2 linked regions of the Lepisosteus oculatus genome follow. The main gene of each other region encodes a partner of the protein of the gene in region 2 in a complex. Links are inferred from orthologs where the notes say so. Each region holds a gene or a part of one and is shown on either strand. Other genes may lie near its edges.

Region 1 (15,579 bases), on a different chromosome or scaffold from region 2:
AGGATCAGAAAAATACTAGACAGTGTTTCAAATACATTAGGGCTTTACATTCTATGTAGAAAGCACAGGTTTGTATACCAACCACTTCATAGAGGGCACTACCCTCTGAAGCCTTACTTTAAACTACACCCAGAACAAATACCCCTCTTCATTTCACGAACAATTTAATACCTGTGGATATGTATGAATCCTGGAAATTGTCAAATTCACAAATTTTAGTACCATTTTGGCCATCACTGGAAAAGGTTAACCTGGACACACTTAGAACTCTATCACACCGCTTCAAAATGAAAAAGTCAGACTTTAAAAAAAAAAAGGTTAGCGTTTAATTACAATGAAACAAAACTGTTACATTTATCATCGAGGATCACAGTACTTAACACAAAATGCATCCCCCGTAAAGCAGATAGTTATTTTTCACATTCTGAGGTGTTCAAACCGTTGAAAACTTAAATAAAACAGGACAAAAACCTCTTTTTTCAGAAACCAGTTGCTTTCCATGTAAAGGTGGGGAGGAGATGCAGGAGGATCAGAACTCTTGCACACCAATGTGAAGGGACTTTGTCTTTCTTACCCACATTAAGGTCTTGCAGCAGTACTTACCTACATTTTAAAAAAATGTTCATGGCTATTCATAACCACATCTCTCTTTTAAAAACGGTCCTTGAAATTATTCAAGAGAGATGGGTTCCCATTTTCTTGTAAAGTGAAGACAGCCCCTGTTTTTCAGGTTTGAAGCAATGGCTGCTGTCCCACTGTTATCAAGTTTTGGGACCATACAAAACTCCAATGAGCCTGGGTCTTCAGCCTTCTGAAAAAAAAAGACATCTTCCTTATCCAAGAGTAGACCTGCATCAGCGGTGAAGAATGGGGTAACTCCTTATCCATGGTCCCTAAATACGTGAAATAAGGTTTTTGCATTTGGCTCAATCACAGTAAGTTTAAAAAAAGCCATATTAAAAGACCAATACCTATTCAAATTAATTTTATTTGAGAATTCCCTTCAATGACAAGTCATATAAAATGCATCCGAACACTTAACAAAAGCAAACTTTCTAAAGGAATTCTTACAGACGTTCACCACCCTCCCTTGAGACACACTGAGCTCACTTGCTTATCACGGCCACACAACACAAGCTCACTCAGTGTCCTCATCACAGGCTCCACCAGCATCAGGTCACATGTTCACACTTACAGGTCAATAACAAGGAGAAACAAACAAAAAAAAGCACACACCATACGGCATTCACGTCAGATAATACAGCCAGAAAAGATACAAAGATTCATTTCAGATCACTAAACATTCCACTACATTTAGAAACTACTTTTAACGCTTGTTCATTCAAGGAAAAAAAACATCCCTAGGATCTCATGACAGGTTAATGGGTGTCCTCGTGGTGGTAGAAAAGAAACACTCGTACTTTTCTTGCAACTGCTGCTCCGTTCACACTCGCTCACCAAAGCCACAGGATCGTGCCATCTCTCGCAAAGTCAGTAAGGGCTCTCGTTCCAAAGCACAACCAGTCCTTTCCACACGTGCTTTTTTTTTTCCTCCCCTCTCTCTGCTCGCTCATACTCAGCCTTTCACTCGTGGCACCAACAATCCATCCCACTCAAGTGTTCTTAAAGCGCTCCATAAAAAGCTCGCCCGTTTCCACATCACAAACTTGCGTTACAGCGCAGAGAGGAAAAAAAGACTCCGTTAAATAGTTGTTAAAAATGCAACACCCACCGTCGAACACAGTATATGCAGAGTGAAGCTGCGCTCTTTGATGACAAAGCATTTACACATGGGAAGAAGGGAACTGATACTGAGATCGCTCGAACATTGCTGCCAGTGAAGGGCTTCTTCCAGGGAAATTGGAAAAGAGATGAACTGCAGAGAGATTTCAATGAAGGCTTTTCCGTAAAACTTTAAAAAAGAAAACTGCAAAACAAAACTTAAAACCAGATCCTCCCAATACAAGATAAATGGAAAAACCATAATGTGTGTTTGCTGGGGGTGGGGGATTTCCACAAGGTATGCAATTAAAAAGAATGAAGAATGTCATGCATTTGTTCTCAAAATACCAATATTTACAATTCATGCATAGAGAATCTGGTTTGCCACAAACTGAATTTTACCAGGGGGGGAAAGGGAAAAAAACCTACACTACAAGTAGTGTTGTAGTTCACCATCCTGGCAAACTGGGATTCACTTTCACCTGCTCTGTACATCAATCTTTTGCAGATTTAGCCAAATGTACAAAAACATTCAGGTTTCTTCTTTTACAAAAAGAAAGGCAAAAATAGTATGTCATTTAAATACCCAGGACATATTAAGAAATGGAGCTGGAAAAATTATAGCTTTCAAAATACTTACCATTTTACTCTAGAAATGCGAAACGCTTCAAATCAGTTTCCTACATTCCCCACCCTGACGATTTTGACTCCATACTGGAGCCAAACCCTGAATTGAACCCAGTGCCCGGGCCAGAATTTGAGCCAGTGCCCCACCCTAAACTTGCTGAACTGGAGCCATAGTTGTTGTTTCCAGAGCTGAAGCTCTGATTCTGCTCCCGGGAGACGTTGGTCTGCCCAGTGGGAGTCGTACCTGAGGCCCCCGACTGCCCCTGCTGGCTTGCTAACATGCCCATCATCCCCCAGCTACTCTGCAAAGCAGCCTGAGCAGCAGCCATCATGGCCGGGTTAATACTAAAGGCTCCAAAATTCATGCCACTGCCCATGTTATTGTTGGGGCTGTTGCCCAGCCCGCCCCGACTATTGCCAAACCCTTGGCCCCCGAACCCTCCGTTCCCAAATCTACCCCCCCTCTCCATCATTTGCCTACTATTATTGTGCTTAGGCTCGGCGTTCGAGATGTGCACGCTGACTCCCTTAATAATCAGGTCCTCTCCGCAAAGCGACTGAGCAACCTGCGGGGGGAAAAACAGGAGGTCAGGAAAAGTGAGTGAGCACAGCCAAGGAGCCAGAACCCCCCCCCCCCCCACCCCATGTGCAGAGGCAGGCCAACGGAAGAGCTCTCTCGCAAGAAACAACTCACCTGGTCGTCCGCAAAAGTGACGAACGCAAAAGCCCGGAAAGGTTTGGGGATGAAAACATCCGTGACCTCTCCGTACTGCATGAAGAACTGGCGCAGCTCTTCCGCAGTCATGTCCTCGGTGCAGCGGCCCACAAACACCTTCCTGCTGCGCAGGGGCTCGTCCGGGCTTTGCTGTTTTCCGGGATCAGGCGAGAAGGAAAGGTGTTTTAAAAAGAACGCTCGTAGTAAAACCGTAAGGACACCTGGGGGCCTCCAAACCCATCAGTGGTGTCGGAACTAAAAGCAATAACCAGTAACACAAACTAGTACAGCACAAAGACGGTCATTTTCAATAGCATAGGGTTGCTACCTGTTCCTGTACTTCCAGGAGATCTTAACATAGGTGAGGCTTCGTTACCAACAATCCCCAACCCTTTTAACATTAAAAACCTCTTTAAATAACTTTAGTCATGTGTAAAGCCAGTGAATGCTCAGAGGTCTCACTTACAGCTATGATGACTGATCCTTATCCCTAGGGTAACAATGAAGCAAGTTTAGGCTAGGGACCAATTGAGTCGATCGCTAATATTTTAGCAGCAAGCTCAAAAAAAATAACAAGTCCTAATTAAAGAGCATGGTATCATATTATTAAACGTGTTAATTATGCGATGGTTTCAGATAAGAATACTGCTGAGTGCTACAAGCATGCAGCACTGAAGGGAATTGATATTTCACAACCCATTTTAAAGACCAGGCATTACCTTCGAGTTGGGCAGCTTGCAGTCACACCACCTCCCGTCAATCATGTGCCTCTGAGACATCACCTTCACCTGCGTCTCGTAATCCGTAAATCTTACAAATCCAAACCCCTTGGAATTTCCCGTTTTCACATCTCGTTTAACCTAAAGGGAAACATCAAGTGCTGTGTAAGCATACCGAGCCAAGACACACCGTGACATTGCAGCACCTCTCATCCCAAGCTGGACAAGATTTGCTCCCCTCCCACTAGGATGACTGATTGGACAGTAAATACGACTAAGAGATCCAGTTTATCTTTTTAAAACAATGTTACAAATTAAGCTGACCGTACCGACACCCGAAGAAGGCTCCACAGCTGAAATGTTGCATTTCTTTTCAGCAGGGAATAAACCTTTATCTGTTCATTGACTGTACTTTTCACTGGTACCTTAAGACCAACTTTAAAATGTTATGAATTTCGAGTAGGGAGCTGCGCCAGCATGCGTTGGCAGCCAAGGACCAAGTAAGGGTTTATTCCCTGCAAAAAATTAGAAGAAAAACACAACATTTCCACTGCGGGGATTTCTCCAGGTGCCGGACCTTGATCCTCTAAAATGTTACGTCAAGCAAACGGGGTTCTGCACCAAGAGCCCCATCATGCACGTAGTGGGGGTGTTAGGGAAGGCTGCAGAACAACTGAGCAAGCTTCAGTGGCAATTTACCTGCACCATCAACACTTCCCCGAACGTGCTGAAGTAGTCTTTGAGGTCCTGCTCCGACGTCTTCCAAGGCAGGCCCAGGACAATCAGGTCCGACGTCTTCTGCACTCCCCTCTTGATCTTCACCGCGGAGGAGGCATCAATCTCGTCCATCTTCCTCTTGTTATCTGGGGGGGGGGGGGCAGATTCAACATAAGGAGGGTAGGAATGGCCCGGCCAACGCAAAGACCCAAAGCACAGCCCCTACTAGACCCTGAGATATATTCTGAATGCAACACCTGTGCCAAGCAGACTCACTTTTAAGTGTGACAAACTGCAACTGTCTCCAAATTACTCATTCCAAAAAATAAAAGCAGTATATATGACCTCTGACAAAACTCTTCCATATAATGCATTAAAGAGGACAATTAATCTGTCATGTTTTTTTTTACCTCAGATCGCATTTAACCTCTTTTACTGAAGAATATCAGTAAAAAGGGTAAGCACTCCAAGGGATGGTTTTTAAGAGCCAGGGGCACGTCATTAGCTTTTCAGTTATCAACAGTATCTGTTGGTCTCTGGCTTTAACTACAAGTGGGCTGCAATTAAGGGCTGATCAAGTCAACTAATTTCACATTATCAGAGCGCCGAAGAGCGAGCGGGCTTGTTTAAGACGGTAGGTTTTCTCTCAACTTTTTTTTTAAAAACAAGGGGCATCTTTAAACGGCGCATTTGAAGGGGTGTTATAGTCCCCGTTTTTGCGGTTGTTGCTGCACCGTTTGCAAACGTGGCTCCGATCTCCGCAACTCTCATGCCCCGGGTCTTCTCGCTGCGTGGGCGGGGGGCGAGACGCTTTGTCCCAGCTCCCTTTCCAGGAGGCCACGAGGGCCCGACCCACCCGACCGCTGCAAGTCTGAGCACCGCGCAACGAAGAGCACCGACACCTATCGATACCTTTAGGGTAGTTGACCACGTAGACCAAGTTGCCCCAGCCGGTCTCGGGGGAGTGCAGGATGCCCTCCACCAGGCGGACCCCACGCATGCACTGCGACACGGGGCTCCGGTAGCGCAGGCCGCAGGCTCCCGGAAACTGCGCCGCCACGGTGGAGAGCAGCACCGTGCCGTCGTCCTCCGAGGGGATCTCCATGGGCTCCTCGTTTTCATCCTCGGCCACCCGGATATACAGCTCGGCCATCTTCACGCTTCGTGCGCTCTCGAACTCTTCTCTCTCTACGCGGGACGCCAAAATACTCGGGACCCCTCCGCCGCTTCCTAGCTAAAAGATCCCTCCTTACTGTAGGGAGTCGTGGATTTTTTTTAAAAAAAACAAAACAATAAACAACCAAAATATACTGACCTAGATGAAAAGGAGCGAGATCACCGCTGTAAAGAGTTTAGCGATTCTAACTCTGCTTTAACAAAAACAAAACACAGCACCTGGAGCCGACGGCCGTATTGGGCCCAAACCAACACTCCTTGCAAAATGAATGACAACTTATTTTTCGCGCTCTTCGGTACGCAACGTACAGCAAATACAGCCCACGCCGATCCGATGTGACGGGATGCCCTTGTACAATGCGGTATCGCGACGAATGTTCTGCCTGAAAGTCTACGTTTTCCTTATTTTCCTCCCGAATGGAAAAAACACGCACAACAGTCTCGCTTTCTCGCTCCTTTCTTCCCAAACTTCAAAACAAAATGGCCGCCTTTCTCTCATGGAGGGAATTGCATCATCGTTTTGGGTGGGCTCATTATTTCTACAAATGAAGGAGAATTACAGGGTCGAAAAGCGAACAACTTTCGTTATCGATTATGGGTCTAATTTACTAGTATATTGTACAGCGGCACTCGCAATTAGAAGGTTTAACGTTTTTTAACCGCTGTTTCGCTCTTTTTCACCCCAACCCGTTTTCGTACTTGGTACGTTCCACTTAAAACGGCATGACGTCACAGTATCGCGTCTTAGCTTGGTACGGCATCAGAGGCATGAAAGACCGCAAGGCTGTGTGATGGTACATTGATGTCGGTCAGATTTCGTTGCTCCTGTATTAAGCGGAATTCTTCCTTCATGTACTTACACGTCATGGGCTGTCCTCCAGTGTCAATGATACTGTCAAGTCTATCTTATCTTAATTGGAAGAGGTGTTATTGGGGCCAGCAGGGGGCGCTCACCCTACGGTCCATGTGGGTCCTAATGCCCCAGTATAGTGACGGGGACACTGGACTGTAAACAGGCGCCGTCCTTCGGATGAGATGTAAAACCGAGGTCCTGACTCTCTGTGGTCATTAAAAATCCCAGGGTCTTTCTCGAAAAGAGTAGGGGTGTAACCCCGGCATCCTGGCCAAATGTCCAATTGGCCCTCACCAATCATGGCCTCCTAATAAACCCCCTCTATGAATTGGCTTCATCACTCTGCTCTCCTCCCCACTGATAGCTGATGTGCGGTGAGCGTTCTGGCGCACTATGGCTGCCATCGCATCATCCAGGTGGGGCTGCACATTGGTGGTGGTGGAGGGGGGTCCCCATTACCTGTAAAGCGCTTTGAGTGGAGTGTCCAGAAAAGCGCTATAGAAGTGTAAGCAATTATTATTACTATTATTAGATAAGATTTTTATTGTACCCTGAGGGAATTGTTTTTATGGACACCCAGCACTCCTGTACATTTAAATAGAATGCAAAAAAAAACCCACATTATACATTGCACATTATACTATTCCAAAAAATAAGAAAAACATTGCACATCATTCTATTGCACATGTACAGTATAACTCATAACAACACATCAAAAACCAAACTGCACTCAAGTGGGTTGTCAAAACTGTGTTTATCCTTGACATTTGTGTTGACAGCTTTAATGGATGACTTAAATTTGGGAAGCCTAAAACGTTTGCCAGAAGGAAGAAGTTGATATTCAGAGTTGAGGATGTGGGAAGGATCTGATATAATTAGTTATGGTGAATTTCACTTCTCCTTCATCACGAGCAAGACTTCTCACTTTCTGCTGTATTATATTAAAGCAAGTGGACCTGCCATTGTTGCGGATTTTAACACACACACACCGCGCAATTCGTTCGGAGCACACGAGCGTTTTTGCAAATTGTTTACACTGACTTGTTTAACACGAATTGTGTATCGTGAAACAACTTTAGCTAGCAGCTAAAAAAGCATTTTTGTTTTTAACACACGTTTCTTCATTTGCTTCATTTGAGGAATGCTTAAGTCCTCTGGTGAATTTACACAATGTTTTTTTTCGTAACTGTGCTGTGACACACTGAAAAATAAAACAATCCTTATTGCAAACAGCTCTTAAGGTTCGCACATATTTCTAAAAACCTTTGTAAGAAGACTGGAATTTGATCTAATAATGCGAAAAGCTGGTTAAAGGGGAAGAGTGCTCCAGATTTATTCTCCTTGGCAAAATGACTTGTAATGTGTAACTTCGAGACTGACCACGCAATTTACATCTTAATTGCGGCTGAAGCGGCCTCTCTTCTGATCCCTCCTCATCTTCCTGTTGATTTTCACAGGTCACTCTTCAGTGTCCTGCCTTTCCTTCCTCAGTCCTGGGCGTGGGGTGTGTGTACACAAACGCGACTCACCTGCGGTGCTGATAAATACCCAGGCACTGTAAAGGGGGCCTCACACATCACCTCTCGGGCTTCGCCATGGACCGGATAACGGCGTGTATCGTTATCATGAGCTTGTAAGTATCCGTGCCGTGAGCTGGGGGAAACGCTTCGTTCCCTTGCTGTGAGTTGCAGGGGCTTTATCAGAGGAAACTGTTTTGCCATTTCCTGGACGTTACTGTGAATTGAACAGCGTGGCTCCCCCGTTTTGCTGTGAGATTCAAGGATCTGGCCCTGATGCAAATAAAGCACACGAGTCTTACGATCTGACACTGACGTTACATGCATGTGATGCATAAAAACAAATGCACACACGCCTCTGCCCATTTAAATGCATAGAAGATACATGTAGTTGTATGTTCCTCATACATCTAGTCTGAAATGATTTAATGAAGGTGGGTAGCTGCGTCAGCATGCGTAGGCTGCAAAGGAACAAGTAATAGGTTTATTCCATGCTGAAAAAAAGAAGAGAACACAACGTTTCGGCCGTGGAGCCTTTTTTTCGGCATGGAATAAACCTATTACTTGTTCCTTTGCATGATTTACTGAAGACTTGTGTGATGTCGTAGAGATGTTTAGTACTTCTGCATAAATGATATAATTTACTATATTGTATTTCATTTAAATAACATTGGTGTAACTATATTAAGTGTTATTAGATTTCTTGAAAGAGAATAATGTAGTACGTTATCTTGTGTACTTTCTCCAGCTTCTGGCCAATGTCCACTAGAGGGCGCCCGTTTCAGGTTCTACCGAGAGACGGGTTTGGCGATGCAGCGCAAAGCGCAGGTATGGAGCCTTACTGTTCTGGGTTGTAGCAGCGTGCATCCCATCACGGAAAATCTGCTCTGGTTTAGTTAAAAGTAAAAAATAATAACAATGAACTGGTTTGGTAAGTGCTCAAGGAAGTGTACTTCACAGTGTAAAACGCACCTTTAATCAGCCTGGGAATTCTATTATAACATCTGGACCAGCTGCTGTATGCGTTTTTAATTGCCTCTTACAAGTTGGACATACTGTAAAAAGAAAAAGACGAGGCTGTCTGTCTCTAATAGCTTGTGGGGCTGTGTTTTTTTGTCTGATCCGAGCCGAGGTCTTCTGGCCTCCCAGGAGCTGCTGTCTGAAGTGTGCTGTGTTTTCAGAGGGCGATGTGGAGTGCTTCACAGAGTACATGGATCTGTGGGTGCACAGGAGCAGGGCTGAAGGTTTGAGACTCTGGCTGGCCGGAGCGCTTAGAGTTCCAGGTACAGAAATCTTTCCGTTCCAGAGGGATTCCGGATTTTTTTTTTGTCGGTATCTCCAGAAACCGTTAGAACAAAGCGGCGCCGTGAGACCCAGCAGACAACGGTACACTTACCGGTGTCTTTCTCCAGTGAGAAGTTTGCAGCGCTAAACCGCAGCAAACTCGGATGAAATACGGGTCTAATACTGTGCATTGACTGTAAAACGTACTTAACGCTCCAGTATTGTATGAACTCTCGTGTAAGCTAGGACACCGAACACCAAACATTACAGAAGCCACCCACGGCGCTCGTAAAACAGCTTCACTTTGCATTTCGCGAGCCTCGTCCGGGACGCAAGGTTGAATAAAACGGCTGTAAAGCTCCAGGAAAAAAAAAAACAATCATGTTTTCTTCCGTTGGGTGTCCTTCTCAGTGTCTTTGTTTTCACTGTAATATGAAATGCATTGCAATAATGCATTGCCTAATGTGAACTAAGATGAAAAAAAATGCTATTCGCATTGTAAGATTTCCAATATTTGGCAGTTACTTAAATCATGTGACCCTTTTGGATTTTGCATCTTTTGACTCAAATTACCTCGGGCCTCATAGGAAGAACAATAAGGTTTGGCAGTGTCTTTCCTCTTGTCAAGCCGACGCGACCTTGGTCACCTTTTGTCTTTCCTGTGAAACTCAGTCAGCCTGACGTCGCCGGAGGAGCTGAGCTGGCGGCTGTCCGCCTGCGGGTACGCGCTCCACAGAGACGCAGACCGGCACTACAGTTTCAGAGTGATGTACAGCGGCTGCTCCGTCCGGCTGGAAGTATGTTTCTGCGAATGTAGCGGCGCCTGGATCGAGTCAATTCGGCACCTTCGGCACCCGGATGCCAGTCGGCAGTTTAAAAAACAAAAAACGCCCTTCCAGCTCAAAATCGAGCTAGCGATAGATGGGGAAAATAAGGACACAAGGATGCGCCAATCAAGAGGTCTCCTGTTGAGGTTCATCTCTTATTGATCCAAGGACCTCAGCCAGGCATTTCCCGGGGAGTCCCAGGGACCAGGCTTCAGCAGCAGGGTGTGCTAGCTTTTTTTCCCAGACACCCCCGTTAAAAAGTGCTGCCAGTTCTATGTCCTGAAACACTTCCTGAGAAGTTACACGAGCATTACTGTATGTGCTCGTGTTCCAGTTTCACTGCTTGAAACTCGTGTTTTACTGCAGGAATGTGAACCTTTGTATCAAATCCACCCGCTGCTTTCAGGCAACAGCTGGATGAAGTCCTCGGATCATTTAACACACGAGTCAGACAGGCTGAGTGGCCTTCCCGGCTTCTGCAAAGTTTATGACTTCAGATGGGACCTCAGTATGAAGTTATTGCAGGGACGTGACTTGCTATTGGTCTCCATCAATTTTCTCACCAATTGATGGAGACCAATAGCCAATACAGGGTTGCAGGAGAGCAGTAGTCGAACCCAGCAAGCAGTAAGCAGCAAGATCGAGGCAGGATACACCCTGGTTGGGACACCAGTCCATTGCAGGGCACACACGCACACAGTCCACATACACACAAAAACACACACCAGGGCCAGTTTTCCCAGAAGCCAATTAACCTACCAATATGATTGGGTTTATTTTTTTTTCCAGCACAGCAACTACATCCTGGTACTGAACCTGATGAAAAGACCTGGAAGGTTCGGTGGGAGAAGTAACAGACTTGTCATGAAATGTCCGCTGGTGACAGCGCCACCTGGTGGAGTTCACATTCACTGCGATCCTGACTATGTTCAAGTGAGCCGAGATGTTTTTTTTTTCTTCTGGGACTTGAGCAATGCTGATTACCGAAGCACGACGTCTGCAGCTGTTTGCATAAGGCAGAAGTCATAGCTGCGTCAGAACGGATGGAATCATGTGGTCTTACAGTGGTTCAATGCATCTTGAGCTTCTAATAATAAGGCACATAGTGGGACAATTGCAGCTTTCAAATGAACAGTTTAAAAAACAAAGTAGTTGAATGAGACAAACTGTATTTCATTAAGGACCTTGCGTTTTCAGCCTGTGCAAATGGCTTTATGGTTTATGAAGGGAAATGCTTAAAATTCTTAATGAGTAGAACGAAGTGAATTACGTTTTGTTATATAATTTCCACAGGTAACCAGACCGCTTCACCGGGACAGCTGGAACAATGAGGTAGAGTGTTTTGCACAAAACCAGATTGATGAGTTTTTACATTGAGGGTTTTCTACATGAATATACCTTTTTTAATTAAAAAAGTCGCCGTGTTACTCCCCCTCTCTTTCAAATAACATTATAAAAATGGAAACTATGACAAGAAGTGTACGAGGATAATCTACCTGTGTGTGCTGTAGCTGCGCTGGTCCCTGTCTCTGAGAGGAGAGCTGGTAGCGGCGCTGGAAGACTCCAGCCTGATCCAGTTGAGCGCTGAAACCAGAGGCTCCAACATCACTGTGCAGGGCCAGAGAAAGGAAATAATGGACTCAGTGGAGGTAAGGAACCTCCTTTTTATATTCTTTACCAATAACACGGAATTTACCTGTTCTAAACCGACGCTCAGAGTGGAGACGGGACTAAAGCTGTAGGCGAAGTACAGTTGGGTGTTTCGGGTAGGATCACACTGCCATCTCGTGTGGCCTTGAAGAACTGCAGCGGAAATCTGTTTATTCCAGCTCACGTCTCTTAACTTGTTCAGTATTGCTGTATTGCTGCCGTCCCCTTTGACATTCTGCAGGCTGGGCAGCATGAGAGTTACATTTCCTAATCTGGCGTCGCTGGAGAGCAGAACCAAACAGAACCGGGCCTTTCTAACTTTCTAACCTTATTAGTGGCATAGAAAATGAATTGATACCATATTTTACAGGTGATGGGAAGAGCAATTGACGTCTTGCCTCTCTGGTTAGTCAGTGGGTACTATGCCTACAGCATGGAAGCTAACTGCCCTAACGGTACGTATCACTTAATCATAGTACAAAAAACTTTAATCAATCTAGTATAATACTGCTAAATATTAAATGCACAGCTGAACATGGCCTATACACATTAACACGTTTCCACACATACAGTGCAATTACAGCAGCTTCCTTACAAATATCTGATGTGTTTTACAGTAATTAACACGCCACCCAGATTAGTTCATGAAGTCCAGGAGGAGAAAACTGTAGCAGTGGCTGTTTCCCCACTGGATGTTTAGCAAGGAGAACCACAGGGCTGGAAGTGTGTGAGGGGATGAGTGCAGTAACTTCAGGGCATGAATCTCCCCTCCATCCCATCCTATCCCATCCACTGGGGGGGGGTTATTTAAAGTCAGCAAAGAAGCAGCAGCGCCACGCTTCCTCGGGACTCTGTGCAGTTCAGGTCGAGCCCCAGCCAGGAGCGCTACTCCTCTCTCCGAGAGTCCCCAGTCCTTCATCCCATCCCAGTGTGGAATCTCCTCATCAGCTCGGTCTTGCCTCTCAGCTGTCGTGGCACTGCGGGCTTCCTGCATGCCAGCAGTCCCCCGGGCACTAGGAGTCACTCCGTGCGTGGACAGCCCTGTGATTGTTTCTCATCCTGCAGTGTCCAGCTCCCCAGCAGATGAGACTGTATTGCACATCTCCAAGCGCAGGATGGGCTTAATCAAGAGGGCTGGCTACGACAGGGAGAGCCTGAACCTACTCTCTGTAATCGTAAAACAAACAGACGTTTATTCAGTGTCTGAAAACCACGACTTTCTCCAGCTTACAGTCCCCACAGATCACATTCTCCAGAGGAAGGTGAGTTTGTCTGCTTAGCCAACTAACACCATGTGCAGAACTCAGGATATTTTTTGCCCTTACATTTAGTACACACAGCTTTTTTTGTGTGTGACAGTCTTATCTTTATTTATTATTGTGTTCCATTAATAATAAACCCCATTTCTTTTTCTTGAACATAAATGCCAGGAATAACGTATTGTCCTCTGCTTGGTGATAAAGAAGACAAGTATTTATTCATTCCTATAACTCTTACAGAGTTGCACGAGTTCTGCAAGTGAATCACTTCTGCAGCTATTCTTTAGAGTGGATGTCATTCTGACTTTCAGAGAAATGCCATACAGAGTATACTGGAGTATGGAAAATGTTTTTCCATGTAGTGGTAAGTATTCTTTTTGTATTGTCACATACAGTAGCAACTAAATTAATACAATTTAGTTGCAATTTATCTTATTGAATACAGTGAAGAATAAATAGACCATAGTTTAAGCCTGTACCTTCTGTTAGTTTCACATCTACTGTATAACAACGTCTATCTGAAAAGGATTTCTCACTCTTCAAAGAGTTTATGATTTTTCAATCCTGAAATTACAGTTCATTCAGTACTTGAAAAACCCTTCAAACCATCCAGAATGTTGCATTAAAAGCTGGAATTCTCAGATGAACAATACACATTTTATCAATCTCAAAACCTAGTCAAGTTAAGTTGATTATACAAAAGAGAAGGTGTTTTTATCTCTGCTGATGGATACTTAAACAATGTGATCTAGTACTCTGTGTACAGAGCAACTTGGATGACAAAAGGCTCAGCATCTCAACTTTTAGCCTCATGCTTTCCATATCGCCCAGTGTTTGCAGGATGATGTCATGTACGTCATGTAGTGTAAATTGAGAGTTCTGTTATTATTTCTGTGTTTCTAATTCCAAAGTGTCTTCCAAGACCTAGATTTAAACACCCAAGGGAATGAGATGATATTTGGGCCTTTTGGAAGTAGGTAATTGAATTTAATCCCAGGATCTCGTCCAGTCTTTTCTTCAGAGAAACCAGGGTATCGATTTGAACAGCTCAGCTGGGTACCTGTACCTTTGTTTGTGTGGTGCAAAGCTGCACCAGAACCCTTCTTCGCCAGGCTGCGGTGATGCCCAGCCTGCTGGTCCTCAGCACTCCAGCCTGCTGGACACGGTGCTCCGGCCTGCTGGTCCTCGGGACTCCAGCCTGCTGGACACGGCGCTCCGGCCTGCTGGTCCTCGGCGCTCCGGCCTGCTGGTCCTCGGCGCTCCGGCCTGCTGGACACAGCGCTCCGGCCTGCTGGTCCTCGGCGCTCCGGCCTGCTGGACACAGCGCTCCAGCCTGCTGGTCCTCGGGACTCCAGCCTGCTGGACACGGTGCTCCGGCCTGCTGGTCCTCGGGCCTCCAGCCTGCTGGACACGGTGCTCCGGCCTGCTGGTCCTCTGGGCTCCAGCCTGCTGGACACGGTGCTCTGGCCTGCTGGTCCTCACCTCATCCTCAAGAACGCAGCTCTAATCGATTCCCTCTTGCTCCTTTGGATTGCCTGAAAGAATTAATTGAACTTGGATGTGATTAAGCAATATAATGACACAAATATTTGCTTTCCCATGGAATTCATTTATTTTTCCTACTCGGAATTATTGGATAGCCCTTGGGAGCTCCATGTAATGCAATTTCAAGAGTTTAAACATAACCTCCGGTTCCCCTCGGAAGAAGTCAATATTTGTGCACAATCAAATCAATATTATACATAAAAGGATACATTAATGGGCTCTTCAATAAAAGAGTTAATGCCAGATATTTTATTACATGCTTTTGGCTGCAGGGGAAAGCGTAAAGCTCAGAATCAAATCTGGTATTCATAGGCTACATTTCTATCCCAAACTGGATGCTGACCCCCCTTTTCCACTTGTCCCTCAAGTCCTTATCCTGCTTTTGCCTCCCAAGGAGAACCACGATTCCACTGTTGTGCTTTTACTACCCTCCACCTTTTTTACTATGACATACCGCAGTAAAGGTCTCTGTCTGTCTGGGCGACACGAGCGGGACGCGTTTCCAGTGCACACGGACAGTATGTTCTCTCACCCGTGTTCCTGCCTGTTGGCGAGTCGTGGGCCCTGAAGTGTTTACGGGATGCTGCCGTCTGCAGGAACGGGCCAGCGAGGCAGCTGGGATTGCCTGCTGCCTGCTTATCTGTAATGGAATCCTGGTGTTCTCCTGCCTGCTGGAGGAACAGAGGTGGCCGCGAGGTTTGGGGTTTCTGCTGACGGCACCTGAGCACGGAGCCAAGCTGTGAATTCCCAGTGTGAAGCCTCCCCTGCTAAATTAGTGGGATTAGGGACGTTTTCTGATAGAGCTGACGGAGAAAAGAAGGGGGGTGGGTGGGGTGGGAATGCTGTAATTCAAGGGCACAAGCCCTGCGTTTCTCTTTTTATATATCTAACAGATTCAATTAGTTCTCGCCAGATCCACAGCGAGAGCGTGAATGCAGCTGTCGGCCTGTTGTTTTTGTATTTGCATG
Region 2 (14,942 bases):
AGCACTTCATTCTCCACTGAAATGTAAGAACACAACTATCATCTTCAGAAGTGTGGTCATTCTTTCTTCTGTTTGTTTCTCTTGCAGTTTGCACAAAGAGATTCAAGCAAAAACAGCGAGGACACTAGTTTTGTCAGTTGCAATGAAATAATAAAGAGTGGACAGCTAGGTTCACAGGCTGCTTATCATGAACACCTGCAAGTGAACCTAATCAAGAGCACATTGTCACAGTCAAGATAGAAGAAGAGTCTTTCAAAGCTATTGCAAAGTACCAGACTGAAAAATACTTTCTTTAAACATTATTCAGCACTCAGGTGTACACTGTAGACTGTACTGGAGGCATGACAGCAGCTCCAGGACATGCTATGTTAAGATAATAACCTGGATGCGTGACTTCAATAGCTGGTGAAATTTGACTCCATATTCTTGTAAAATAGTTCTGCTTTTTGCTTTCCTGTTTCCCTAAGTATGGTGTCATATTAGGTACTGCTGGTTTTGAGTAGTCACTGTTAAATGCAATGCATGGAAAACAAAACTTGGATCCCAGAAAACAAACACCTCCATGGGAACTGATGCAATTCCCCTTATGTTGGATGTGAAATCTGGAAATGTGTTCCTGCTGCCACCAGGATATCTTGGGAAGGTAACATCGGACACACTGGCATAGGTCAAACAGAACCATGCCCAAATTAATAGTTATACCAGTAGTAATCATCCAGGTGGATGCTGCACATTGGTGGTGGTGGAGGGGAGCCCCCATTACCTGTAAAGCGCTTTGAGTGGAGTGTCCAGAAAAGCCCTATATAAGTGTAAGCGATTATTATTATTAATACAGCTTTTTAAAAAGAGAATCTTTTCTCTCACCACCAGCCATGTCGGATCTCTGTTGAACTCACCATTGCTCCGATAGAGCCAGAGGTGAATCCAGGATTGGATAGATTATCGAGTCCGATGGAAGAAAAGCCAGGTGCACTGCCCCAGCCGGACCCGCCGCCTTCAACAGCAAAAAAAAAAACAGACATCTTGTACAAATCCTGATTATTGGTCATATACTGCTGATCTTATACCCAACTAAAAACTGTTTTCTTTAGAAACCCAATGGACCATTTTTCAAGGCAAAAATAAAATCAGAGAAGAACCCTGATGCCGCCAGTGGAAATCAGGAGGGACTGCGCATATCCACAGTCTGTCTCCATACACAAAGATTAGCGAAAATTGAGAAAGACCCATGGAGCAAATCTATACTGACCAGCAAGAGGGCAACATAGGTCATTTGTAACTCTTACATTCTTATAATGAAAATACACTATTTCCACAAAGAACATTTCTACACTACAAACGTTCGCTTAAAATTGAGTAGAATTTTAGCAGCCCTAGCAGCAGAAGAATTTAGCTCTTTGACATCTATATACAAAATATAATAGTACATTTTATAAGTATTTTTATGGAGATCTGTAAAATTGTGTAATGCACTGCGGTGTAATTTCAAAGGAAGACAGTAGTATGAAAACAGTGTGGCTGTCTAAAATATACAGTGCTGTAATAATGAACAACACAGCTCTTCTGTCCAGTAAAACAGGTTATAAAATTCATTCAATGGGAACTTTTTCTTTTTGGGGTCCTTTTCAGATCAGCTGCTGCCAAAGCAACATGCACAGACGTTAACTGTCCTGTCTCGATGTGCCCGTCTCGAAGTTTGCCAGAGACCTGTGGTTTAAACATGATATAATTTCACACTAGTGTTTTTTGGCCATTATGAAAACAGGCTCATGATATTTTCTAAGTAGTGTAACAAATCTGTTGTAGATAAAAAGCCAGGCACAGGTTAGCGCTGGCGCATCTGGAGGAAGAGACACTTTAACCACCATGATGGTGGTTGAGCTTGTATAACTTGCAGAATACGAATAAACTCCTGTGGGACTAACCGGCAGGAGGCACAGATGGGTAGCCACCAGAAGCCGGGGGGTATCCACCAGGTTGTGGAGGGTAGCCTCCAGGCTGAGGAGGGTAGCCGCCGGGCTGAGGGGGGTATCCACCGGGCTGGGGTGGATAGCCGCCGGGTTGAGGGGGGTATCCACCAGGCTGGGGTGGGTATCCGCCGGGCTGAGGGGGGTATCCACCAGGCTGGGGGGGGTATCCGCCGGGCTGGGGGGGGTAGCCGCCACCTTGGGAAGGATATCCTGGATAACTCATCGTTTAGCTCTGGAATGGAAAATATTATTCCACATGTTAGGAGAGATTCCTCTCGAAACTTTCCAAACGCATAAACCTTTCCTTGTTTTGATCTGGGGAAAAAGACCAGTGATTTCTTAATGAATAATTTCATCACAGCAGAGCTTGAGCTTTTTTTTATCTTAGTGTTCCGGCAGAAGACGAAGAAAAAAGGCTCCCAAGGGTGAGAGGACTACAAGCAACGGCAGAATGTGAGCATCCAAAGTTCTGGACAATGTTAGCTCAGCTTTTACTGGAATTAATTCCAACTAGAAAAACAGAAAATAGAAACAGTAACTAGGCTGGAAAGCGACGAGGCCAACAGCTTGTGGATGTTAACATAAATCCAAACAAAATAGTTTTAGTTACTGTATAAAGCAAATATACTGTTGAGCACAAAAACTGTTTTTTTTAATGTAGTGGAAAAGGTAAAATAATAGATGCACAGTGACAGTGGATGCTTAATAGTCTCATGTTGCTTTAAACCAGCTTTCAGGCCCAAGTGAGAGATGGTGAAGAATAGATCAACAAACACAGGACCTTGACATAAAATAAAACTAAATTCTGACCCTGTGCGCAATTCAGCATCGCTGACCAGTGTTTTGGGTAAACATGCTGTCATTGTTATCAACTTGCATGAACAACACGCCTAAAAATAACACTGCATTATTCACTGTACGCTTTGTACCAGATATGGAAGACCTTTAAAGAGGTATGAACACAAATAAACAAATGATGAAGGAATCCTAAACCAAGGCATGAAAAATAAATTTTGGTCATAATCATAATTTTTGTCAGGTTTGATAATATGCTCTTCCTTTTTTTTAAATTTAGTTCAAGTTTATTGTCATTATACTCATACACAGGTATAAAGTCTAACAAAATGCTATTTAACTAGCACTCAGACGGTAAGTAGTACAAAAAAAACAACCATACAATTGTATAAGAATAAGACAGAGACAACAGGCAATGTGCAAAACAACAACAGGTAACAGGTAGTATACAAAACAACATCAGTTGTGCAAAATCATACATCACCAGAATGAAATAAAGGATACAAAATTATGGGGAGTGAACTTCTTGACATGTGAGGTAGAGGTAGATTTCAATGTGTGTTATAGTTCTCATAAAGAGAGAAGGCACTGTAAGGGTTCAGATCGTAGGTGAGAGAGGCTGGGTGTTTAATAGTGCGGAGGTAAAAACTGTCTCTGAGTCTGGTCCGGGCCTGAATGCTCCAGTATCGTTTTCCAGATTGTAGAGGGTCAAACAGTCTGTAGCTGGGGTGTGTGGGGTCTTTGATGATACTAAAAGCTTTCCTCAACCACCGTCTGTCATAAAAGTCCTGGATGGATGGGAGAGCAACCCCAGTGATGGACTGGGTAGTTTTCACCACCCGCTGTAGGGCTTTGCGGTCAGCAATACTGCAGTTACCATATCACACTGTGATGCACCCTGTCAGTGTGCTTTCTGTAGTGCATCTAGTAATCTAGTGAGGATCTGGGGAGATATCTTAGCCTTCTTCAACAGTCTTAGGAAGTACAGGCTCTTTTAATTAGTTGTCCTTAGTTTTACATATCTGCAGAACATTTAAATATATAATGCAAACTAGATTTGAGAAATCCACTTCAATACAACATCACACACAGAAAACGATGCCAAAGAGGAAATTCAACACTAGCTAATTTGCGCATGGTACTATGCAAATTAGCCTACATTGCCACTATATATTCAATGACACAGAAACCTTAGCTTCTGTAACAGACAGCTTATTTAAATTATTTTTTATTTCAAACTCAGTTCTATAAAATTAGGTTATCTTCAGAAATAAACTGTGCAACTGAAAACACTAATAGGAAGGGCAGAATTCTCGCCAAGGTCAATTTTAGTATTAGCCGGCTAACCAGGCCCAGATAGCCCTGTCAGTCTCATGCCTAAACTTAGCCCTGCTGAGTAGACAAGGCCACTATCTTTCCAATTCACTTAACGGGGCATGGCTTATTTCCCTGCTTGTGTCACAGACACATCCCAGAGAGCCTCAAAAATCACAAGCCTCTCTTTCACTCTGGCATGAAGCACACAAATTCAATAAGATTATAATGTCCATTGTATTTGATCAATGCCAGAGAAGTGGACCCGATTCCCAATGTGGGCAAATTGCCTGTCAAATTCAAACACTATAAAGTGGGAGTTTACCAATAATAAAGGATTTCTAAATCAGTGGGGAAATATTTACATTTGTATTTCTATTTAAATTTTTAAGTAAATAGCCCACATTGTAAAGACAAAATATACATGACGGCAATTTTATTTTTGCAAATTGAGCTACAATGAACAAAGAGTTATTATCTGAAAAGACTGACAATTCACTACAAGCATTAGACTTGACAAGAGTAATGTCTAGACAGCCTAGTTTTCAATGTAAATCCAATCAATTTCATTGGTTACAGTGAACCTGCTAAGACTGGGATCCACACTTTGAACCCCCTGTCACATCAAATGCATTAGCAGCAGTCATGGAGGAATGGATGCTCAGACACACCCTGAACTTAAAAACTTTTCTTCATTGAAAAGTAGATCTAATACAAGACCACCTATTTCGGGAAGGCAGCTGTGTAAGAGTTAAGCAACCTTGAAATGCATGCACTTCCTTCCTCATCAATGTTACTCTTAAATCTCTAAGAAGCGAACACTGGTTACAAACGGAAGAGGAAGGTGTTTGGTATAATGTACTCTTTCAAGTGTACATTTTAGGAACTCCCGAGGAGTAGTTGATGTTTAACGTCCCTCACAGGAAAAAGTACACTAATTTAAATATTCAAGCGTGCCGTCAGCGACACCTGACCATGAATCAATGAACTCCGTTTGCGTGGGTGGGTGTGTTGTGTGGCCCTAGGGCTTTCTTCACCTTTAAACTCGACGGAAGACTAGATTTCTTAAATTGGGTACATTACAGGTAGCCAACATTTACAAAATAGCTTTTTAAAAGATTTATAACGTAGCATAGTAATACTAAATAACTCCTTCTGGACAGCAATGCAGTTAAAGTTTTTAATGACAATTCCTTTATAAATGAAAGCAGTTTATTTACGGCCGTACTAAAAGTAAACATCCTCTAAACTACAGTAAACCAAAATTGTCGCAAGCACAACTACTGCAACAGCGCAGAGAAATCGATGTCCCAGATAGCTGCAAACAGCCTCAGTGGTCATTTTCTGTTAAAATCCTTACAAAATGGCAGCCTGGAGGAGCGTAAAATTCAGTACGATCGTGTCGTGCCTATTCTGCAGCCGTAAACTACACCTATATTTAAAAACTAAAGACGTAAATACAAACTGTAAACAAGCTCAAACGGCTTCTTGTGGTTACAAAACCTTACAAAGCAATCCATCTCTTATTTGTTTTTTTCGTTACGGATTACCGCTCTATTTTTAACCATGCATTAAAGTTGCATTTAGCAAGTAAAACATTACATGAGAAAATGGGAGTCTTTTTCTTGTTGAATTGTTGTAAAGTAACAGTGGGACCCTATCGCTCCGTACTCCTCTAAGAAACCCACAGTTCACCTTAATTAAATTTTAAATCTCTGCATGTTGCAAACCCTAACAGAACACTACTGTCAGGTCATAAAAATAAAGAAATAAAACTTTTATCAACGATAACACTAACCTGCTTGCCCGTGCTTCAGGTCTTTTCGTCCTTAAATGAGAACAGATCAAGGAAGTACTTTCGGTATGTGTTTAGCTCAAGGTGGGTGGGTCTCTCTCTCAGAGTTTCCACTGCGCCGAAGACGCCCACGGCGCTACACAAACACAATCGGGTAAGAGTTGAGCCACGGCACTCACTAGCAAACTGCCATCGTGACGTGTCCAGGTGTGGGTTAGGAATATGGTGGTGCAATAATAATGATACAGTGTGATATGTGAATGTAGAAAATGAGAAGTGCTTATTTGTCAACGATGAACATGTCGAACTCGAACTTTTTTTTTGGAAAACACAACTGTGCCCTCCCTCTCCCCATGGGTCATAGTACAGCATTAGTCCAATTTAAAATCACGTGTCCGGCCTCCTGGTGCATTGCGATGGAGATTGAAGGTAGAAATCTGTCGCGTCCTTTGACTTTAAGACAACAAGAAACAGGTTTTCAGCTGTGCATTTTGTTTCTTAAATTAGATTTTGTTGCGTTATTGCTAACACTTTCCTTGTAATTGACAAAATAGTTATTTCTAGGTACAATATAAATATGACTTTAAATTCCTAATTTAATGATTATACGTGTATCTTACAATCCACACACACCTTCTCGGTTACTGCTTTTATCTGCAGCGTCGCGGTGAGCCGTGGCCTAATCAGACAGGGTGCAAGGCGGAGCTACACTCTGGGTGGGAGGCCAGTGTACTCACACGTCAAGAGAGGGGTAACATAGAGACGAGGTTTAACCCGGAAAGCGTGTCTTTGGCCTGTTGGAGGAAACTGAAATCTGGGGAGAGTGTGCAAACGTCACACGGAATAAAATGAGGGCTCAGGAAAATGTGAAGGGACATTAATGTGATAGTGTTTTGTGTGGATTTTGGGAGGGAGCAAGCCCTTCTCCCCAGTTACTAAAGAAAATACCTTCAAAATACACCAGAAAGCATCCCCTTGTCCACTCTAATTTATACACGCATATCATAATAACCCACTACGATATACAAGTCATACAAGTCTTCAATAATGTGACATAAATTAAGAGATAGGATATAATCTTCATTCATTGTTATATGCATTGTGTTTTTTTGGACTGCTGTTTACAAAAAAAAAACTGTGATTTTCAGAAAATAATGTTGTGAGAATTCTACTTTATACAAGGGTCAGAAAAAATCTGAGTATAGTTGGATTAAAAAATATATAGCCCAATCTTCTAATACTTTGAAAAAACAGGTTGACGTACTGTAGATATCACGTCCTGCTAGTCTCTGAATTTGCTCTCGAGCCAATATTTTCCAAAGCCGATCTTTTACGTGCCCCACCTTTTAAAGCAAAACTAGGTTTGCTTTAAATAGAGCTCTCCAATCCTGTTTTTTGAAAGCCATGTCAGAGACGCACCCCGACGACCAGCCCCTAATTGCGTAACGTTATGGAAAATACTGACAAAGAGAGGTGGGCCATATCGGGGCTAATAAAAAGAGCTGTATTTGCACGGTATGTTAATGATAAACGTGCTTCAGATGTCTTCTTTTTCATGTTCAATATGGAGTCTCAATAGTGTTTTAATATTAAAATGTCAGGCAGGTACTTGAAATATAATACGTTTTAAAGCCGCAGACATCTTTCAGAACATGATCTAAAATCACAACCCTGTACGATTAAAACTTTTGCGTGTGGTGAAGGTTCATAACCACTTTTTAAGCGTTGAGTTGTTTGGCATTCATTTTATATTCTGTTAAACTAAAGTATTTTGTATAAGAAAACAACATCGTGTAGAGGTATTTGGTGAGGACTACAGACCGATTAACCGACTGGAGGGTCATGGGTTCAAACTATGGGCGGGGCATTGTTATTTACTTGAGCAGGGAACTTCACTCGGATCACTCCATTGCGACATAAATGGGTCTGGGGTCATTATCAGGAATTGCAATTGACATTTGTGGTACAATAATAATATTTATTTATGTATTATTTTAAATCTTTAAATTATCTATCACAATTGTCCTGATTTGATGATGTGTACTGAATCGAGTCCCAAAAGCTTTCGAGGTGAAGCGTGTCATACTCGAAACGCAGGGACTTGTCATGCGCAGAATTGGCACCTTGTAAAAATGGCCCTCCGTCTGCTGTACAGACACAGACAGGAACCCCACCGCACTGGAGACAGGGTTTATTAGGGTCAGTGTTTCCTTCAAACTCCCAAAGTGGTGGTGAGACAAATTTCCTAACTGAGATAATTCAAGTCACCAATGAGATAAGACCAGTAGTCTATATACAAAATATTGAAAGTTTAGCACAAAAGCTTTTTCATGCATATATTGTACATTTCTTAAAATATTAATTAACTTAGAACGTAGAAAATAGCCTTCCTTTAACCAAAGAACGTTTAAGAACAAATTCTCATTTACAGTAAAATCCTCAAAAAGATGATTTTGGAATAATTCAGAAGAATCACACATCTGTTGTTTAATATGAAGGTAATCCCAGCATTTTCTAAACACAATTACAGACAGGTTTTAGTCAGCTTTGTCTGAATATATGTAAAATAATTACTAATGGAGTCAGGCATCCCATTTACCAATACATTTAGTGCTGTATTACTTTTACCACAGACTTTGAACAGCGTAAATGTATTTTGCTTCCGGTGGTGATGGCACAGGGCAAGTTCTGTGCAGGAAGGATTAAAAGCATCTGATAAGAATTATGAATTTCTAAAAGCAAAGCACTGTTTCTGCACTGAGGGCTTTTGACTGTAGTCTGAGATAACTGGTTATGAATGCTCTACATTTCTTTATACTTTTTTCAAAGGATTTCCTCTAAAAACAAATGGTAGAGAAAAAAGAATGAAACTGAAGTTTTAAGTCAGAGACAGATGTAGTTCTGTAGTTCCAAGTAATTTTACCTCTTACAACAACAGTAGATATGATTATTTTAGTCTGTCTCAGCGGAGCTCTGCTCCCAGCGTGGAATTACACCTTGTGAGCAGGCTAGGATTAATGAATAATAAATACTAATAAAACGAAGCTACAAACTGTACACAAATAGCACTGTGGGTCTGGAATTGAATAATATTGAATAACATAATATTAATTATTAAATTAAATAATATTTTTCTTACAATAAAAATAAATAACGAAAGTATTGTATTCATTGATCAATGAAGGCCTGACCAGGGTATATGAACTTCAGTCAACCTTGTTTTCAGCAGTCACAGAAAAAGTGTGGTCGGAGGGAATCTTAAAAAATAAATTCCAGCATTACTTCACTCTTCAAAAGGTTTTATTCTTGCCAAAGAGAATTAACTGGAAATTGAACTGGGAAATATCAAAAGAAACATATATTTCCCACACTGCAAATGTTTTTGTTATGGATACAAACTCTTAAATGTGCATCAGTAATGAAAGCCAGATTGTACGTACGTTGCTTTTGCAACATTTCAATCATGAATCTTAAGCCTTTTTTTGAGTAAGAAGGCTGAATTCCAACCATTATTAAATATGGTAAGAGTGAGAACAACTCAAAGTGCCCTTAAACACAGGACGCAAGCCGCGGCCACGCCATGGATGGGACTCTAGTCTAGTCTAGTCTAGTCTAGTCTAGTCTAGTCTAGACTCTAGACTCTAGATGGGACTCTAGTCTGTCAGAGGATGGAAGACTTGACCACAATAAAAGATGAAAGAAACACACACAATTCAGAAACATCAGTAAGCATGTTTTGGAACTGAGGGAGAAAACCAGAGCACCTGGCAAAGTTCATACTTACAGGTAGAACATGCAAAGTCCATATAGTAGGAGTTAAGACCATAGTAGGTGAACCCAGAGTCCATGACTGTGAGGAAGCAGCCCTTACCGCCATGCATCCAAAGACAGTATTGCAAAAAAGTGATAGTTACATGGATTTCTCATCTTTAAATACCAATAAAACAACAATTTTATTCTTCCCCTTGTCATGGTTCTGGAACCAACATATTAAACTTTTATCAGGTTTAGTAACAATAAAATATTCAGTTAATGTAATGATATTTTAAATTGTGAATGTTAATTCTGGGTTATTTCATCCTTTATCATTCTACGTTAATCACAAATAATGCATAAGTAACGTTAGTGGATTGTTCTAAGAAGTGACACTGCAAAATGTTGAATTTTTTTGTAGGCACTCTTTTAAAAATCAAGCTCTTCTTCTGCATTGTTTCCACCTGTTTTTTTTCCTTAATCAAGATGTTAGTCACCTTTGTTGTGTGTCGAAACACACAAGGTGGAATTCTTAAAATCAGAGAGGAAGTCTCCAGTTCTTGAAAATCTGTGAGTCTTCTAATTATTTTTAGTCATCAAAAACTATCAGCATGCCACTTTTCCATCAGAAAATTCTGACCAATAATTTAACAAACCAAATATGGGAAACATTAAATTAATCATTCACACGTTTAAATGGGCGGGTATTTTCTTCATATTAAAACTGTACCCATCTGTATGGTAAGTCAACAATATACAATGGTAAGGGAAGTACTGGCCCAAAATATTCTGACTGGGTTTGATTTAAAAAAACGGGCTAATAGTTTAAGAAACAACCCCAGATTTGCAGAAGGCAGGTATTTAGATGGGGAAAATGCTTAAAGTACCATAATAAAATTCAAAGTGGTTAGTACTGTATTTATTTAAAAGAGAAAAATCCTTCCAAGGAATCGGTCTCTGGATGTGTGCTGGAGCATCATAGGAAAGCAGGTCTGATTGCGTTCTAGGGATCCTGGCCCTCACTGGAGCCAATGTGCACCAGGGGTACGCTTGCTATGGGAGTTCAGAGAGATGTGCTCTGTGCTCTGTGAAGGCCCACTTTAGGCAAGCAATGTGTGTACAATATGTATGGCTCACTGAGCATGTAGGTTACCAAGACTTGTGAGGAAAAACTTTTTTTAGGGGGGAAAAGGGCTTTTGGTCTAAATGTTCACAGTACATGTATTGAAAGAAGAGCTGGAACAATTCAGTGCATTTGAAAGAATGTAGGAACCCTCACGACATGTTTAACTAACATCAACAGTTTTGCTTCCCAGACAATAAAGTTGTTGTTACAATCTCTCCAATCCTGCAGTTTTGTGTTTCAGGCTTTTGGTGACAAGAATTAGATAGCTCGAATGATCCCTTGCTGCAATGAGATCTACTGGTTTTCAAGACCTCTGTTGATTTATTCTCATAACATTTTATTTAACCACCTTGGAACAGAATTTGGAATTCAATTAGTGTCAGGTAGTTTACAAATCTGAAACAACATTAAAAATCTGTACAACGTTTGCTCTTTAAGGGAGGTACTGGCTCTTTGCTCTTTAAGGGAGGAATTTAATGTAATTGCTCTTTAAATTCCTACTGTGTTCATCCATTCTGGCTGATATTCACAGAAAAGTGTCTGCATACAAGGCTGAAAAATTGAACTCTAAAGATTAGACAGGAGAGTAAGCACATGACTACAATGGGAACCTTCTCCCAGATTTCCCAATGTTGTTACAGCTGTCTTATTAATGTCCATAACAATAACACCTTCTCTGCTTCATTGAATGTCATTGCACATGCAAAAGTAAGGAACACTGTAACCATAAAACTGTATTAAATTATGTTCTCTGACAGGAATTTCATGTTTGTACTACGAAAACGGAAATCGGTCAGTATCCTCCTGTGCTACCGTATACAAAGTAATTGCAGTACTTCAAGTTTCCACTAGATGGAACTCTCTTTGTCCGTTTGTTTTTGTAGGTCTGAAGCTGTAGCCTGAATATTACATCAATAATTCCTCGATGAGATTGATTTCCAACGATTAAGAACAAATCTCGGTAAAGTAAAGCTGACGTTGGAGATTTTGATAGCTACATAAGCACAACTAAGAAATATATAATAAAAAACATTGTCAGCCTTCAAAGACAACATAACAAAGCTATTTGTAAAATACGTTTTTCTTATTAGAAGGCTATGCTAAGAGAAAATAAAGCACTGCCTCCTGCCTAAAAACACATTTTGAAGGGTACCTTCAAAATATTACAATGATAGAAAGAAGTCAGCCTGCACAGATTGATCAAAATGCTCCATATGCACCTTCTTAGACTATGGCATGCTGTACATGTAAAAGACTCACATTTGTTAAACATAAACTTCTCTTTATACTGCTAGTGAAAGCATGTGTTTTGCTCACTCTTGAGGAGTGCGCTGCCTGACAATGACAATGACGTCACTCTGATGGTGTCTGGTTTCAGGCCACAGTCCTGCGGGTGACAAGAACAGTGTGATTGGATGGCACTGAGCCTTAACAGACAGGTTAACCTATAAAACTTCAAACCCTGAAACCCTCACACACCATCCTAACTACACAGTCAAGGAAAGCAAGCTGTGCACATTTACACCTCCTCACCTTCCCTTTACAATTTAATTGCAGAACCTGGACTAAGGAGGCTTTACTTCATTTAGCTGCAAAATCAGCTTTTCTCCCTGCATGCATCTAACTTACTACTTTTGATAATGTGGGGGTTAGAAAGCAGAGATCATTTAGTATCTTGTTTTTTAATAAACATCTTTTTAATCAGGTAAGCACACCCCCTTTATATTTATGCAACAGTGTGTTCTTAAAGTGTCTTCCTGGGAAAAGTTAAGGTTGCTGCTGGAAGAGGTGTTAGTGGGGCCAGCAGGGGTTGCTCACCCTGCGGTCTGTGTGGGTCCTACTGCCCTACTGCCTGTGACGGGGACACTATACTGTAAAAAGGCACCGTCCTTTGGATGAGACGTAAAACTGAGGTCCTGAATCTCTGTGGTCATTAAAAATCCCAGGGTATTCCTCGAAAAAAGTGTAGGGGTGTTACCCCAGCATCCTGGCCAAATTTCCCCCTAGCTTTTCCCAATCATGGCCTCCTAATAATCCCCATCTCTAAACTGGCTTCATCACTCTGCTCTCCTCCCCAATGAGAGCTGGTGTGTGATGAGCAGACTGGCGCATCATCCAGGTGGGGCTGCACACTGGTGGAGGAGGAGAGTCCCCATTACCTGTAAAGCACTTTGAGTGGAGTGTCAAGAAAAGCCCTATATAATTGTGAGCAATTTTTAATATTATTAATAGCATTTGATTCACATGCAGAAACATGATGAAATTTGATTTTTTTTTTAAGGGGGAGATTGTTAGGGTGCTGCACAAGTCCTTTGTTCAATCACTTTGTCTTTGTGGATGAATACTTAGCTGTGCATGCATACAGTATGTAGTGCAGAGGCTGTGGGTAGCGCAGAGGGCTTGTTTGAACAGGAATGTGCAGAAAGACCACAGCTCCCACAGGCATGCAGCTGACAGCTTTTCTGCAACAGGATTTTGCAACTTCAGTGTTTCAGTCATGAGTGACGATGGGAGACATGGTAAAACCCAGACCCCTGCAGAAATGGACCTTTTCAAACTCACATACGGACTGCATGAAAGAGTGGTTATTTCCTGGAAAATGCATAGTTTTGAGAGGCCAGCAGTAGTGCAGAGGGTCAGACTTAACCGCTGAAATGCACTAGATGAATGAAGGATGTGGTGGAATTACTGAGCTCGACATTCTGCAATGGGAGCAACACCCAGTCCTGCACCAGTGTGTCCTCTCCTTCTTGAATAAAAAGACCAGACATCTAGAATAAAAGCGCTGTTGCCAAGGTAAACCTTGTATGTGGATTGTCTGCCCTTTTCAATTTTGGATTGCTCCTATTATTCCAAAGGGTTTCACCGATCACCCCATGGCACAATCCAACTGTTCTTTTCTACCTGCGCTTGTTGTAAAGTCTTCCCCTTTGCTACTTATGTTGTGCTTTAACACACAATAAAATCCAAACAAAGTTAATGTTTGCAACGTCAAAATGACAAATCTACTGTTTGCCAGTGCGATTTAATCTATTGATGCAACCGTTCAATCCATGATTCAAAAGGATGAAATTGCCTAACACATCTTCCTTAAGTTCTGAGCATTGAGAGAATGCATTGCACCCTACCTTAAATTTCTGATGCCAGCTGCAACAAGACCGTTTTAAGTGACACCACTGGGTGAAGTATCACATGCAAACAGTCCACAGGGTCAGCAGTTTGCTTGGAACTCCGTTCAGAGAAGCAGTGAACTCACTCATCCCATTGGGCAGAACCAGGAAACAATATGATCAAGCACAATCTTAATATTATAGCAAGGAAAAGAGCCTTGTGGGACATTAACCACTATGATTCAGCTGTGTGCTCAGGTTTGCCTCCTGCTTCGCAATTCTCAGCCTTTGTTTGTCTTTTTGTGCTACAGTAGTGGTAGCTGTGCTGGTTCTTTGTCCACGGCATGCTATTGGACAATCATAACATCATAATCAGCATGCATAATAAATAAGCAGAAGTGCCTGAAATGGCCAGGTTAAATATCAAATATTAATATCAAATATAATTCCCACCACTTTATTTCAGTCCTGTTTCTCTTCTCTCTGTCCCATTGTCCTCAATGTTATAAATGAATCCTTGAGCACTGGCATTGTACCAGCAGTCCTCAAAACTGGTGCCATTACTCTCGTGCCAAAAAAGCCCAACATGGCTCTCGACGATCTTAACAATTTTCGCTCCATCTCCAACTTACACTTTCTTGCTAAAATTCTAGAACGTGCTGTCACACTTCAGTTACATAACCACCTCATGATAAACAACCTTTTCGAACCCCTCCAATCTGGCTTTTGTCAACTTCACAGCACAGAAACTGCCATGGTCAGAGTCACTAACAATCTTCTAATAGCTTCTGATTCTGGTTCTCTTTCTATGCTCATCCTTCTTGATCTCAGTGCTGCTTTTGACACTGTTGATCTTAACATCTTACTTTCTCGTCTTGAGACTGTGTTTGGAGTTTCTGACACTGCTCTCAAATGGTTCAAGTCTTACCTCACTGATCACTGTCACTTTGTCTCTCTTAATGGGTACAGGTCTTAAATTGGTCTTGTTAAGTCTGGGGTTCATCAGGGCTCAATACTGGGCCCCTTGCTCTTCAGCATTTACATGTTTCCAATTGGTCAGCTTTTAAGATCACATGGCC

The links.
Region 1: the proteins of anxa11a (region 2) and tardbpa are in contact, whole or in part, in a cryo-EM structure (PDB 9FOR), measured with the Homo sapiens proteins. The link is inferred for Lepisosteus oculatus from reciprocal best matches to the Homo sapiens genes ANXA11 and TARDBP. Residues at the interface, in NP_001148.1 of Homo sapiens: Gly56, Met57, Ala59, Met61, Ser62, Gly63, Phe65, Asn69, Pro71, Asn72, Leu73; in NP_031401.1 of Homo sapiens: Ala328, Leu330, Ser332, Trp334, Gly335, Met337, Gly338, Met339, Ala341, Ser342, Gln343.

Annotation. Positions count from the first base shown.
Region 1 is NC_090720.1:2,257,921-2,273,499, forward strand, and holds tardbpa (TAR DNA binding protein, like), read right to left. Parts: upstream 6,151-15,579; 5' UTR 5,654-6,150; coding exon 5,413-5,653; intron 4,647-5,412; coding exon 4,483-4,646; intron 3,925-4,482; coding exon 3,784-3,924; intron 3,215-3,783; coding exon 3,044-3,214; intron 2,916-3,043; coding exon 2,403-2,915; 3' UTR 2,032-2,402; downstream 1-2,031. Other genes in the region: c25h1orf127 (uncharacterized protein C1orf127 homolog), read left to right, coding at 8,125-8,162, 8,795-8,874, 9,228-9,329, 10,003-10,127, 10,947-11,090, 11,451-11,489, 11,669-11,806, 12,178-12,262 and 2 more. UniProt on the Homo sapiens protein: RNA-binding protein that is involved in various steps of RNA biogenesis and processing.
Region 2 is NC_090699.1:18,783,609-18,798,550, forward strand, and holds the start of anxa11a (annexin A11a), read right to left. Parts: upstream 6,089-14,942; 5' UTR 5,878-6,088; intron 2,203-5,877; 5' UTR 2,194-2,202; coding exon 1,926-2,193; intron 995-1,925; coding exon 897-994; intron 1-896. UniProt on the Homo sapiens protein: Binds specifically to calcyclin in a calcium-dependent manner. Required for midbody formation and completion of the terminal phase of cytokinesis.